Linked DNA regions of Caenorhabditis elegans. The protein of the gene in region 2 interacts with the protein of the main gene of each other region in a pairwise test. Each region holds a gene or a part of one and is shown on either strand. Other genes may lie near its edges.

Region 1 (6,828 bases), on a different chromosome or scaffold from region 2:
ACGAGAGGGGGGAAAAATAAATAAAAACGGGTCTGAAATCTGATAAAACCAGTGGAATATGAATAGAAAGATTGAGGTCTAATAAATTAAACGTTGCTCTGTTTAAGAAGATTTTCAATGATTTGGCGGTTGGATTCGAGCAGGCGAGCGTTCAAACGGATAGCTTCGACGGTCTGAAATTTATGCTTTTTGAACAATTAAACTTGAAAAAATAAATACCTGTCCGATGGGTCTGGCCAAAGTCTGGCGATCCGTATCGCTGAGAACATTGCAATTGCAGAAGAAATCTTGAAACTCGACAGCTCGTTTTTCGTTTCCAAAACTTTCTCCAGCAAACTTGAGGCATCGCTGGAAGAGACTCGAGTTGGCACCTCCGTATTTGTCGAGGAACTCTTTAATGTGCTCGCAGAAATATTTCCACGCGTATTGCTGTCCCATATGAGTCGCTCCAGTTCCGAGGAAGAGATACAGCTGATCTTGTGGACGGACCTTGTTCTTCTCAAATCCATATTCGAAAAGTTGGGCAAGAAGTGACTCCTCCGGAGTTTGAGACATTGCTACCATGGTTTGTCTTTCGATCTCTTGGAATGTGGTAGTTTCACGGAGATTCATTAGCTTATCGAATCCTTCCTTTCCTCCATACCGAGCAACAACACCGAAAGTGGCTAGCCGAATGTCTGGATGAATTGGCGTTCCTTTCTCCAGGAAATCATTGAACATCTGAGTGAACTTGTCAATTGTTGGTTGATGACCTGCACGGGCGAGTCGTGCTTGAACAAGCGATCTCAACATCATTTTCTGCGAGTCTTCTCCAGCTTGTTCTGCGAATCCGAGCTCTGCCCCAGTCTGCTCGAACATCTTAACGACGAGTTGTTTAGCACTGAAATAATATACTGTCAATTAATTTTGAATCGCTAATATCAAACCTCTTCAAAGTGTCTTCGGACATTTCACGAGCACAAGCCAAGAGCTTGCTCATTCCTTCATCGATAGCTCCCCAGACAACATATTCATCTTCTTTTGCGGAAGAAGCTGCGACTTGAACAAACTGTGCGATGGAAACACGTCCGGTATTGAGAAGAGCAGAGAGATCATTAATCAATCCGAATCGATCGAGTACTGGCATTCGGCGAGAAGCGATATCGGGCAGCATTGCAGTTAGCATTTCATCCGAATATTCGACTCGGTAGAATCCAGTTGTTCCAGAGTTGAGCTTCACCCATTCTCCTGGAGCGACACCTTCAATCGTGAATTCTTGCTGCTTCTCCTTTAGCAAAAATCTGGCTTTCACATCACTTGGAGAACTTCCGACAGCAACTGTAATTGGCACTTGCCACTGGCTATTTTTCGGGTCTTCACCTCCATCGGAAATGAATCGACGTTGCTCCACGGTCAAAATGCGATTGTTACCATCTTGTCTCTGGGAGACCTTCAGCACAGGGAATCCCATTTGTTGGGTCCAACCGGACATCAATTCATTCACGTTTTGTCCTGAAGCCTCGCTCAGTGCGGTCCACAAATCTTGAGTAACTGCATTCGAATATTGGAATCTCTTCAAATAGAGGCGAAGTCCTTTTTGAAAAACTGGCTCCGATAGATAATAGCAGAGCATGCGGTTGACTGAATTGGATTTGGCGTAAGTGATCGAATCGTAAATCTCATCAAGCTCATTCGGATTATCAATTTCAACTTCGATTGGATGAGAGTTTCGAAGTGCATCAAGTCCCATTCCAGACGCGAGTTCATCATTCAGGAAATGAAGCCAGATCTTGAACTCTGGACAGTTAGCGCCAACGAACATGTATTCCATGAATGATGCAAATCCTTCTTTAAGCCAAAGATCAGTCCACCATTTCTGAAAAGAATGAATATATATGTTTATTAGTTGAAAATTCCCTACCATAGTCACAAGATTTCCGAACCATAAATGAGCCAACTCGTGAGCAACGACTAAAGCAACTCTAGACTTTTGTCTGGTGGACGTGACTCCTGGATCAACAAGAAGAGCGATTTCACGATACGTGACAAGTCCCCAGTTCTCCATCGCACCCATTGAGAAGTCCGGAATAGCAATCAGGTCACATTTTGGAAGAGGGTATTTGATGTCGAACCACTCATTGTACCAGTCAATGCACCTGAAAATTAGAAATTGAAACTTCATTTGAATTATTACTGAAAATTCAGCTAAAATTATTCTTTAAGATAACTCACTTCACAGAAAGATCCAAACTGTATTGACCTTGTTCTTTCTTTCCAGGTACAGTATACACACGCATCTCAACTCCGCTTTTCGTTTGTGCACTGATATATTCCAGCTCACCAACGGCGAAAGCGACGAGATACGATGACATCTTTGGTGAAGTTGCAAATGTAACTGCCTTTCTCTTTCCATCAGCAGTCGGTGTTTCGGAGATTACATTCATATTGGAGAGAGCGGTCAGATGATTTTCTACTTCCAAAGTAACGTCGAAAGTTGCCTTGTAAATTGGCTCATCGAAACATGGGAATGCATAGCGAGCATAAGTCGACTCAAACTGAGTTGAAGCCAAGAACTTTTCGGTGCCGTTCTTATCCTTGTACTGACTGCGATAAAATCCTCGCATCTTATCGTTCAGTTCACCGACAAACTTGAAGTCGAGCTGAACCTTCTGTGGCTGCATGGTAGTCGGAAGCTTGATAGTCAAAATATTGAGCTTATCGTCGTAGCTAGTTTCGAGAGATTTAGAAGCGTCTCCTGGCTGAGTGATAAGCGATACCGACTGAATCAGCAAACTCTGTGCATGCACCTTCAAGACATCAGTAGCTTCTTTGATTGTGACGTCAATCGTTGCATGACCATCGAAAGAGAATCTGAAAAACAAGAATTAGAACTTGAAGTGGTTTTGTTGCAAATTTAAACTACATATCAACATTTATTACTGCCGTCCTAGCTAAACTGAAATATTATTACAGAACTTACTGGTTGAGGCATGGCGATAAACGGACGTTGTAATGAGTTGGTTCGGCGAATGTTGGAAGCCTCTCAAATTTGACCGCCGCGCTTGGGTTTCCACAGGCCGCCATTCTGAAAAGTTTTATTAATAAAATGAATTTTTGACACAACTAAATTGAAAGAAAGAGAAGGATATCACAAATGAAAAAAAACACTACTAGGAATGGCGGGAAATGTGGAAAGGAGTTTCTGATTGGAATAAAAAATTAAGAGACGACTGTAACGTTATGCTCCGTGGCATCATCTTGCTTTAATCCTTTAGCTTCTGATGCTTTTTCTTGCTCAAAAGTGTCGAGCGATTCAGGAGTGAAAGCAAATGGAAGAAGAGCGCGAGTTGAGGTGATGAGAATTTTATTGTTAGATGCAGTTCCCACAACAACCTGCAACGATGACAGTGAAAAATTAAGAAGCTCTAGTTTTCTTACTTTATAGTCACCGAATTCAACTAGAAATTGACGGCAAAGTCCACAGGGAGACGCAGGTTCGCTGAGCTCAGTGACGACAGCAATGGCACGGAATTTCGTGTATCCTTGTGACACAGCAGAAACAATAGCACTACGCTCAGCGCAGATAGTGCCACCGTATGAAGCATTCTCGACATTGCAGCCTACAGAAAATGCTAGAAACTTCAAAAATGCATGTTGCGAAACTGAGAAGCCCGCAGACATCTCGAGTTATGCAACGACAAGAAATCACAAATTACCCTGGACAATTTCCCCAGATTCAGTGAGAAGCGCTGCACCAACTGGAAACTTGCTGTATGGGCAATGTGCCCGTTTCATCGCAGCTCGGGCCAAATGAACTAGTTCCACATCGGAAATATCTTGAGGAAGACTATTCGCGGCCATCTGTAGTTAACTATGACAAAAGTGCATGAAATGAGAAGCGAATGAGGCGAATTAAATTATTAGAAGAACAGAGAACAACATTGATGAGAAAAGTTAGCAATACACAAAAGAATTTGCGTTGTGGAACGCATGCAAAGTGACGTTAAATCCCATATTCAGTGAACGGGTCGCGTTATATTTAAAAAAAACATGACAAAATGGGAACTTTGCAACTATTTTTCAGCCTCAACTTCGAGAATTGGTGAAATGAAAAATCCACGGGACATTTTTGCGCGCGCGCGGCCCGAGAAGTGGTACCTGTACGCAATTTGTCTACCGTATACCTGGACGTTTGGGCGCGTGTATCTCAAAAACGGTTGGTCCAGTTTTTTTGTGATGCATATAAATAATGTCCGAAATTAAATTCTAAATTTTTTGGACCAAAGCTTTTTTCATTATCACGCGCCCAAACCTGGTCTACACTCAAATTATCAGTAGAGCGCATTTGCATAGATGTACCACTTGCCGGGCCGTGGCGCGCGCGCGCATTACAAAAGTCAAAAAAATGCGCGAGCGTGTTTGCGTATCTCATTGCGTACTCCAGCGTACCGTAGTTTGTCGACCACGAACGTTCGTTCGCGAACGAATTCGAACTCAATTCAAACTTGTCTCTCTTTTTATAACAATGCCGAAATCATTGCGAAAACGGTTTGTACTTGTGAGTATCGATGATAACATCGAACAAATTAATGCTGCACGAAAGCTTCGTCGCTATTTGGTGAGTTTTTTCTTTAATTATTCTTCCTAATTCATATTTTTAGACGAACAATCACTTGAATCACATTTTCTCGTCAACTCCGGAAGAAATGAAAGAATATTTGGATAAATTGGACAGTGGAACTTTTAATTTTCGAGAAACAGCCGAGGAACAGAAATCGGTTGATCCGTTTTCGGAAGCAAACCAACCCGCCATTCAGATGTCTTCAAACCAAGAAATATTAGAGAAATGGGCGGTAAGGATTGAATAACTCGAATATTGTTCGAAAATAATAAAAAGTATTTCAGCGCGGAACTTTCGCCGAAAACTCGGATGCGTTGAAACTTTTGCTCGAGCCAACTAACATCGAGGAAGATGCAGTTTTGGATGATCACGAATCAGAGAACATTGTAAACAGTAAGAGTTCGTTCATTTAATTTTTAATATTTCGCTGATAACAGATATTCCGCAATTGTTTATGGTAAACTCAATGGATGCTGAAACACCAAATGACTCGATAATCGTTGAAAACGGAAAGGAAGATCAACTTGATATGGCATATTGTTCGGTGAGACCCCGACAATTGCGTCAGATTCAACTACAATTTTCAGCTGTGCAAGCATGAAGTGGAAACCGGTAGAAACCGAAATACAAAAATTAGGAAACAGACTGAACATGTTCTAGACGCCCACCCAGAATCGGAATTTCTCAATGTAGACATAGCAAAACGCTATGAGTGTGTCCACTGTTTGAGAACTCTTCCTGTGTCGAAATCACCATGTGAACATATTTCTGAACACCACGATAAAACCCACGTGGAAATTGAATTTCGTGACTTATGGTAGGAAAATCACATTGAAGAAATGCTTTTAAAAATTCGATTCAAATTTAGGTCCAATGAGCAAGTGTCAACTTTCAATTCAGTTATGGAAAAATGCTTCTTGCGTCATCTTCCAGTTCCCAGAAGCCGTAGAATTCGAAACGGAAACACCTGGTATCTCTCCGAAAAGGCCTCGTACAGAATTGTTCGAGGAGGTGAAATTATCCATATCAGCACTGTGGCTGATAAAAGCAAAACAGATGTGAGTTGTTGAAAAAAGGTTTTTGTAAATATTTCAAAAACATAGAAATAAGCTTTTGGAGAAAAAATTAATAGAAACTGGAAGAAGTCGTGAAGCCTATCAGTAGAATGAAATGTTTCAGAATGACACAATGTAAGATCATTAGATTTTTCGTGGAAATTGCTTTAGATTGGTGTGAAAATGATAAACATAACAGACGTATAGACAAATAGGGTGAATGACGTTAGAACCCACCCTTCCATTTTCGATAACGAAAAAGGATAGTTAGAGGTTGGCACTTCGAGACACTATTGTCATCAAAAACACATACACACACCGGGACGCAGAACTGACCCGTGTTCGCCTCTTGCCGTGCGATGGAGCATGTTTGCTGTTGTGTGGTAGGGACGGCACTGGGCGCCGGCGACAAATGAAAGACGTCGGATGGCCGAAAAATTGCGCAGGCAAAGCTGATGAGTGTTGACGGGCTTGATGGATGCTGTAAAAATGTTAGAATGAACAACAGGCGAAACAGCGATTTTTGAGTCAAAAATACGGTACCGAGTTTCGACACGAAAAATTTCATTTTAGGAGTACTGTAACTTCAATCTCTCGTTTTTCTCATTGTTTTCCAATAAAATTGATGTGTTTGTTCAAAAAATAGGTTTAAAACAGGATGAAAATGTTACAGAATCGAGATTTTGAAACTACAGTAATCTTTAAAGGGGCAGACCTTGTATTTAAGAAAAATTTGTCGTGTCGAGACCGGGTACCGTATTTTTGGCTCCTGTGCTGATCTTAACGGCTAGGATGTTATTATTCTGACCATGCTATTGCTGATATCTAGATGACCAGATTTCACAATATTCAGTAGTATAGTTGTGCACAGTTGATCAAGTGACACTTATCATTTAATATTATTGTTTCCACGAATTCAGAGTACTGAATTTATCAGCTGTCAGTCTTATCAACTCACATGACCAAAATCTGCAAAATCTGCTTTTTTTTGCAATTACTTCTAAGCTATGTAAAATTACAAAATTTCCTAGAAAACGGGAAATTAATTACCTTTACTGCAACGGACAGCCTGTCGAACTGCTAATCTTCCCAGCATTCTGAAATCTGGAACGACAGAATTACAGATTTTTAGTATATAATTTTGTAAAATCAATGTTATTTTTAGAATGGAAA
Region 2 (6,983 bases):
CGACTGCAATCTTCAGTGAAAGAGATGAAACCGCGATTCGGCATCAGCATCTGGCCAGTAAAGATATGAGATTGCTCCAACGTCGATTGCTTACGTCACTTGGTGATGCTAACAATGATTTCTTCAAGATAAATCAGCTCAAAGTAGTTTTCCAAAAAAAAGATGTTTGCCATAAAACATAAATTTACAGTTCCGCAAAAAGATGATCAAGTTTGCACGTTCTCGTATTCACGGATGGGGTCTCTACGCGATGGAGTCGATTGCACCAGATGAGATGATTGTGGAGTATATAGGACAGACGGTCAGTTTTTTTTGTGAAATTAAATTCCGAAGTATTGATTTTTTTTCAGATCCGATCTCTGGTGGCCGAAGAACGAGAAAAGGCTTATGAACGTCGTGGAATCGGAAGTTCATATCTGTTCCGAATTGATCTGCATCATGTGATCGATGCAACAAAGCGTGGAAATTTTGCTCGATTTATTAATCACTCGTGCCAACCTAATTGCTACGCGAAGGTACGTAGTTAATTTGATAATCTGATTTTAAAAAAATAATTTAAAATTTTTAGGTTCTTACAATCGAAGGCGAGAAGCGGATAGTCATCTACAGCCGAACAATTATCAAGAAGGGTGAAGAAATCACGTATGACTACAAGTTCCCAATTGAAGACGACAAAATAGATTGTCTGTGTGGTGCGAAGACGTGTCGTGGATATCTTAATTGATATGATTCGTCTAGTTTTTAAAATTTATATTCCATTCGATCTCTTCTAGTTTTTTAATATTTTTTATTTATTTAAATTTTCCTATCCAATTCCCAATTCGCTGGTTCGAAGTTGGAAATTGCTATCTGATAAGAATAGGCCGGTTCCTACTTTTTTTTTAAATATTGAAAACTGTATCATTGTTATTCATTCTCCTTATGGTGAGCTGAGAAATCCTTGTATTATTAGTGGAATTCGTTATTGTTGAACAATTGTTTGAGTGTATGTTATACGATACAAGCTCCCCTTTTCAACTAGATACTTCTACATTTTATCAAATCTCTTGTTTCTCTATAGGTTTACGAATTGTTTTCTTGGAGGATTTCCTCTACAGTCTCTTGTTTATCTCTCTATACTTGAACATCTCTGAAATCATTCATTTTCCCTTGAACTCTGAACAATTGGTCTTTCCAAAACAACCTCCCATTCAAGTCTTTATTCATTCGTGTTTAAAGTTAATTTCAGCTAGTCTGAATAGTTTTATGTTTTAAAAAGTGTTTTATTATGTTCTTTAAATGAAATAATTTTAAAAGTCATGGTTTTCGTATTTTAAAAAATTTTGTTCATTTCAGTTCGATTCATATTTCTGGTATTTATCAGCGATAGTGAAGAGACCCGAAGAACTCGGGGGATGTCCAACTGGGGGGATTACCAACTCGGGGGATTGGCCCCGCCCACAGAACCGTGGCTTGCAATACGCCCATTTCTGCAACTGCCGCACGATTTTAAAATTGTATTTTTATCAATAGAGCGAGGATTAACAAGAAAAAATGATTTTAAAACCGTGCGGCAGTTGCAGAAATGGGCGTATTGCAAGCCACGGTTCTGTGGGCGGGGCCAATCCCCCGAGTTGGTAATCCCCCCAGTTGGACATCCCCCGAGTTCTTCGGGTCTCATAGTGAAAATTAAACAGGTTTTCCAGTTTACTATTTATTTAAAAAAATACCTATGTATATACATTTTTTTAAAAGTTACCTAGGTTCGAAACATGACCATTTTCGGTTCAAAAAATATGATACCGGATCTTTTCAATAATTCATGATTCGTTTTGTCATGTTTTTTGTTTCAATAATACCAGGGTAATATTATGCATCATCTCTCATACCAAATAATCTATAGAATAAGCTCGAAAATTTAAGAAAAATTTACCATTAGCAATTTCCTTGTCACCACGTAGTGGCCACTTTCAACTGATAAACCTATGTTTGCATTTAGATGATTCGGAGTTGCGTACGGTTGGCATCACAATCGACGAACAAACTTCTCATTTTTTCCTCATTGTCCCGTAACAGTCAACTCTACATTTCGATGAGCTCTTCTGATTTGGGAAGAGGATTTAAACAAGGTAAACGTCTAAAACCATCGATTATTTCAACTGAAAGAGCAACCGATTTTACTACGTTAAAATTAAATTTTCAGGCCGTGGAACTGGTGATTCTGGGCAATCTTCTCTGTACAACAATGAGCGTCGCTGGAAAGATGACGACACTTTCAATGCTCTCGGAGCAACCGATGAATTGTCTTCATTTCTTGGTGTCTGTGGAGCATCTGCTCAAAACGATGGTTCAATGAGCGATGTAGTGGAGACATTAACACGCCTTCAATGTTGTCTACAGGATGTTGGAGCTCATCTTGCTACTCCACCAAAAAATTCTTCGGAGAGAAAACAAAGTGTGTTTTTTTTCTAAAGAGTGAAAAATCTAAAGTTTCCGTTACCGATTTTCAATTTTGTATCTTTATTTTAAATCCCGGAAAATTCTTTCGAATCAAGAAAGTAGTCGAAGTGACTTGGTATTTTCAGAGAAAGTCAAAAAACTGAAATTTTTTCGGAAACCAAACAAATTTTTTCAAGTTTGGTTTATCAAAAAAAAAGTTAATTCTATTGAATTAAAATAAAATAAAAATCACATATAGAGGAAAGATCGGAGATTTTCATATGAAGGTCTCTGGCTTTATATTTTTCTAAAAAATAATTTTTAAAAATCACTATTGAGCCGTATTCTATTCTTTCAGAGAAAACTGCATTCGATATTGCAATGGTTGAATGGATAAATGCAGAAATCGATCGATACGGAGACGCGTTGCCTGCAATCCGACAATTTATTCTTTCTGGCGGTGGAATGACGTCTGCTCAATTACAGTATTCCCGCGCAATTTGTCGTCGAGCTGAACGGAGTATTGTTCCACTTATGAGAGACGAAGACGTCGATCCAATGGCATTAAAGTTCTTGAATAGGTACTATGGTTATCGATTCATCGTTAGTAAGAAATATCAATTTCAGAATGAGCGATCTTCTATTTGTTCTCGGTCGTACTGCCTGCATGAGAAACAAGAACGAAGAGCTGACATATCTTCGCCCCGATTCGTTCACCAATTTGAAATGGGATCGTAAATCTCTTCACGAGAAAAAATAATTTTTTTTATAAATATGTAGTTATCATTCTTGTGAAACTCGCCATACACTTCGTGTAAAATTTTTATTGAATAATCTTGCCATAAATATCAGATTTGTCTATATATATTTTTCTTTTTTGAGATTCTTTATAATTTTTTATATTAATTGATTGTGAACTCTTCATAATGTATATTTTTGTTTAGAAACCAAAACGAAATTTTCAGATTTCCAACTTGTATAATTTTAGAAAATGCTACCATTTGACCCATCCACTAGATACGATCGTCAAGTTCGACTTTGGGGAGAAGAAGGACAAGCATCAATTGGTTCAACAAGTGCATGTGTTCTTGGAAGCGATTCGCTAGGTATTTTTGAAAAAATTGAATTAAAAATCCAATCTAAATATTTTTAGCAACAGAAATATTGAAATCGTTGGTTCTCGCCGGTGTTCAATCATTCTATGTCGTTGATGACGCCAAAGTTGAACAAGCTGACATCGGTCAGAATTTCTTCCTCCATGCAGATGATATTGGACGTTCTCGTGCCGAGGCAACATTGGAGAAGCTTACCGAACTGAATCCATCAGTCTCTGGTAGTGCAAGTAGTCAGCCACCAACAGCGTTAGCTATGGAAGATGTGGAAAAGCTGACAACGTTTTCTGTGGTTGTTGCTGCAAATCAAAATGAAGAAATTGATACGACGTTCGCGAAAGTTTTGTATAATATTAGAGTTCCATTCATCTGTATCAAGTACGATATTTTCAAAATTTGAAGTTCTTGCAGTTAAAATTCCAAAATTCAGAACTTTTGGACTAATTGGTACCATTCGAATCTGCATCAAAGAACACACAATTGCTAACTCACACGAAGAGAATCCGAGACCTGATTTACGGTAAAATATACATGAAAACTTCCAAAAAAGTTTTTATTTCTCAGATTGGATGCTCCATTTTCAAAGCTTATTGAAATGATCAATGAAACAAATCTAGATGAAATGACTCTAGAACAACTCCGCCATACTCCGTATATTCTTCTTCACTTCAAAGGTTTTTCTCGCAATTATGGTTGTATTCTGTTATTTACCTTCTTAATTTCAGCTCTCGAAGTATTCAGAAAGCAACGAAATGATCCTGAAGCGTTCCCATCTACAACTGCGGAACGTAAAGAACTTCAGGCGATTCTTATGAGTTTCCGACGTTCGAGTGAAGAATCCGGAACCAAGGATTCTGAGAATTTTGATGAGGCGAAAGCGGCGGTTATTCGAGCTTTTCAAAGAACTACGGTAAGTTTTTGATAAATTATCCAAATTGATTCTCATTTCTAGTAAGTTTCAGATTGGTTCTTCTGTAAAATCGATTCTCTCTTCTCCACAATGTTCAACATCGACACGCCCATTCTGGTTAATCTGTGAAGCTCTTCGTCGTTTTGTCACCGAGAATAATAATCTTCTGCCTCTTCGTGGAACTCTTCCTGATATGACTTCTGATTCTTCTCGATACACTCGCCTCGCAACTCTTTTCCACGAAAAAGCTCTTTCAGATGCTCAGGAAGTGCTTCGTTTGACACGTGAAGTAGAGAAGGAACGAGGTGTTGGTGACGTCATATCGGATGACGTTTGCTATCGTTTCTGTAAGAACGCTGATCGGATTCGAGTTCAGTATGGCGATGTGCTTGACTACAACGAAGAAACCAAAGCAATTGTTGAGAAAATTCGTGAAAGCAATATTGATGAAGAGACTAGAAATCAGAAAGTTGATGAAGCCACGTGGATGCTACTGATGAGGGCAGTTGGAAGGTTCCAAAAAGAAAAAGGACGTTACCCAGGAACTAATGGAGTTCCAGTTTCAATTGATGCTCAAGATTTGAAGAAGAGAGTTGAAGTTTTGATTCGAGAAGCTTTGAAGGTTTATTACATTCGTTAGTGAAATTAAAACTATTAACAAATTTTAGGATGAACAGGACTTCACATCAATCTCAAATAAAGTGACAGACACTGCTATCGCTGAAATTTGTCGTTTTGGTGCTGCGGAGTTACATGTCATTTCATCGTACGTCGGTGGAATAGCTGCTCAAGAGATTATCAAATTGGCTACCAATCAATATGTTCCCATTGATAACACATTCATTTTTGATGGACATACTCAGGAGTCGGCAACATTCAAATTTTAGTTTAATTTATTGGTTATTTCGCGAATTTGGTTTTGAAACTGTTCCTTGTGGCATGACATTTGTAAATGAGCCTTATTATCAGCAAAGATTTAAAATTTACAAAATAAAACTTTGATTCAAGATTGACATACTGAATATATTCATGAACATATTCATGGACATTGGAACATTGCAATTCGCTCATCTCCCATTTTTAGATATCCCCGGAAACCCCAATTTGAATGCCCGCGCAAAAAAGAGAGAATCGTTGCGAAACCCGCGCGCGTAAATGTTTGCACCTTTAAGTTTTTTGTTTCGGTTTTCCATTTCTTCGAGTTTCTTTCCTCAATTTTTTCTTGTTTACCAACTGCTTATTGCTGTTTCTTATGATAAAAACTTTCTTTATTTTAGAAAATGGCTGGAATTATTTTCGACGATATGTTCAAAGTGAAAAGCGTGGATCCAGACGGCAAAAAATTCGACAGAGTTTCTCGATACTTCTGCGATGCTGAGTCTTTCAAGTGAGATTATTTTAACATTAACTTTTTTACTGACTATGAGAATTGAAAATTTTTTAGAATGGAGCTTATCATTGATATCAACTCGCAGATCTATCCACTGAAGCAGAACGACAAAGTTCGTCTTGTTCTGGCCACTACACTCCGAGAAGACGGACTTGCCGATGAAGGAGAATATGATCCAAAAGTGAGTTTTTATCTTTTTACATTTTTTAAATATATGTTTGCACTACCTGTCTCGTTTTGACTTGGATAACTGATTAGATAACTGAAATTGAAAACTACATTTCACTTATTGTGTAACTCAATCGTTTCCCTTTCAGGCAGAATACCCAAGAATCAAACAGTATGAATATGTGATGTACGGAAAAGTTTACCGCTTGGAAGACGATGATACTGGAACTGACGGCGGAAAGCTCGCTGCTTATGCTTCGTTTGGCGGTCTACTGATGCGTTTGAAGGGCGAGGCTATCAATTTGCATGGTTTCGAGGTCGACATGAATCTGTACCTTCTCATGAAGAAGACTGACTTCTAATCCGCGACTGAAAGTTATTGATTATTTCATTTGTTGATCCGTTTTCTATTTGTTCTACTGTTTTTTATCTCTTTCCAATCTTCACTCAATTTGATCTTATTCTGATTTGTCAGACCGAATTTTCTTTTACATGAAATTTACATTGTTACAATTAAAGTAATTGACTATTTTGTAATTTTCAGTGCAGCAAGCCTGTTAAATATCTTCTTTGATATTCTCAAATTTATTTCCAGCAGTGTGCTTTTCAGGGTTTACAAAATGTCAGCCAATAAAGAGCTGCAACAAGGATACTCTGACTACTCAGCAGCGGTGAGTTTTAATTCACAAGATGTGGAAGTTTTTTTTATCATTTCAGTCCGACCAAGCTGCGCTTCTGAATCGTCTCATAACTGCCATGCAAAAGGGAGAGCTTACTGACGAACTTTTGGAACATATTCCGGAACTCGGCGATGCCAAGAAATTGAACGATAAGCTCAAATACCGGAAGTCGATTCTCGAGAAGAGCATTGCCGAACAGGCAGCCAAGAACAAGAAAAATGGTGTGAAAGCAACATCAACTAGTTCTCCATCTTCTTCTACCTCTGCTCCAGCCGAGAAGAAGGCCAAAAAAGACGGCAAAACGT

What was found. Proteins that work in one complex are often made in the same cells at the same time.
Region 1: the proteins of rpb-8 (region 2) and cdd-2 interact in a two-hybrid assay, tested with the Caenorhabditis elegans proteins (2 studies listed by BioGRID).

Annotation. Positions count from the first base shown.
Region 1 is NC_003282.8:7,544,054-7,550,881, forward strand, and holds cdd-2 (Cytidine deaminase), read right to left. Parts: upstream 3,841-6,828; coding exon 3,696-3,840; intron 3,600-3,695; coding exon 3,418-3,599; intron 3,373-3,417; coding exon 3,199-3,372; 3' UTR 3,065-3,198; downstream 1-3,064. Other genes in the region: pam-1 (Puromycin-sensitive aminopeptidase), read right to left, coding at 87-173, 220-880, 927-1,855, 1,901-2,135, 2,212-2,850, 2,960-3,064, 5,992-6,136, 6,706-6,751; oef-1 (C2H2-type domain-containing protein), read left to right, coding at 4,505-4,597, 4,641-4,832, 4,885-4,993, 5,038-5,144, 5,188-5,417, 5,469-5,658, 6,821-6,828.
Region 2 is NC_003281.10:4,916,743-4,923,725, reverse strand, and holds rpb-8 (putative DNA-directed RNA polymerases I, II, and III subunit RPABC3), read left to right. Parts: upstream 1-5,717; 5' UTR 5,718-5,720; coding exon 5,721-5,827; intron 5,828-5,884; coding exon 5,885-6,011; intron 6,012-6,147; coding exon 6,148-6,360; 3' UTR 6,361-6,483; downstream 6,484-6,983. Other genes in the region: Histone-lysine N-methyltransferase set-2, read left to right, coding at 1-143, 191-301, 351-515, 569-724; mmab-1 (Corrinoid adenosyltransferase MMAB), read left to right, coding at 2,072-2,108, 2,183-2,434, 2,777-2,999, 3,046-3,178; ula-1 (NEDD8-activating enzyme E1 regulatory subunit), read left to right, coding at 3,410-3,524, 3,572-3,908, 3,961-4,050, 4,095-4,204, 4,256-4,440, 4,487-5,062, 5,109-5,327; rars-1 (putative arginine--tRNA ligase, cytoplasmic), read left to right, coding at 6,619-6,669, 6,716-6,981. UniProt on the Caenorhabditis elegans protein: DNA-dependent RNA polymerase catalyzes the transcription of DNA into RNA using the four ribonucleoside triphosphates as substrates.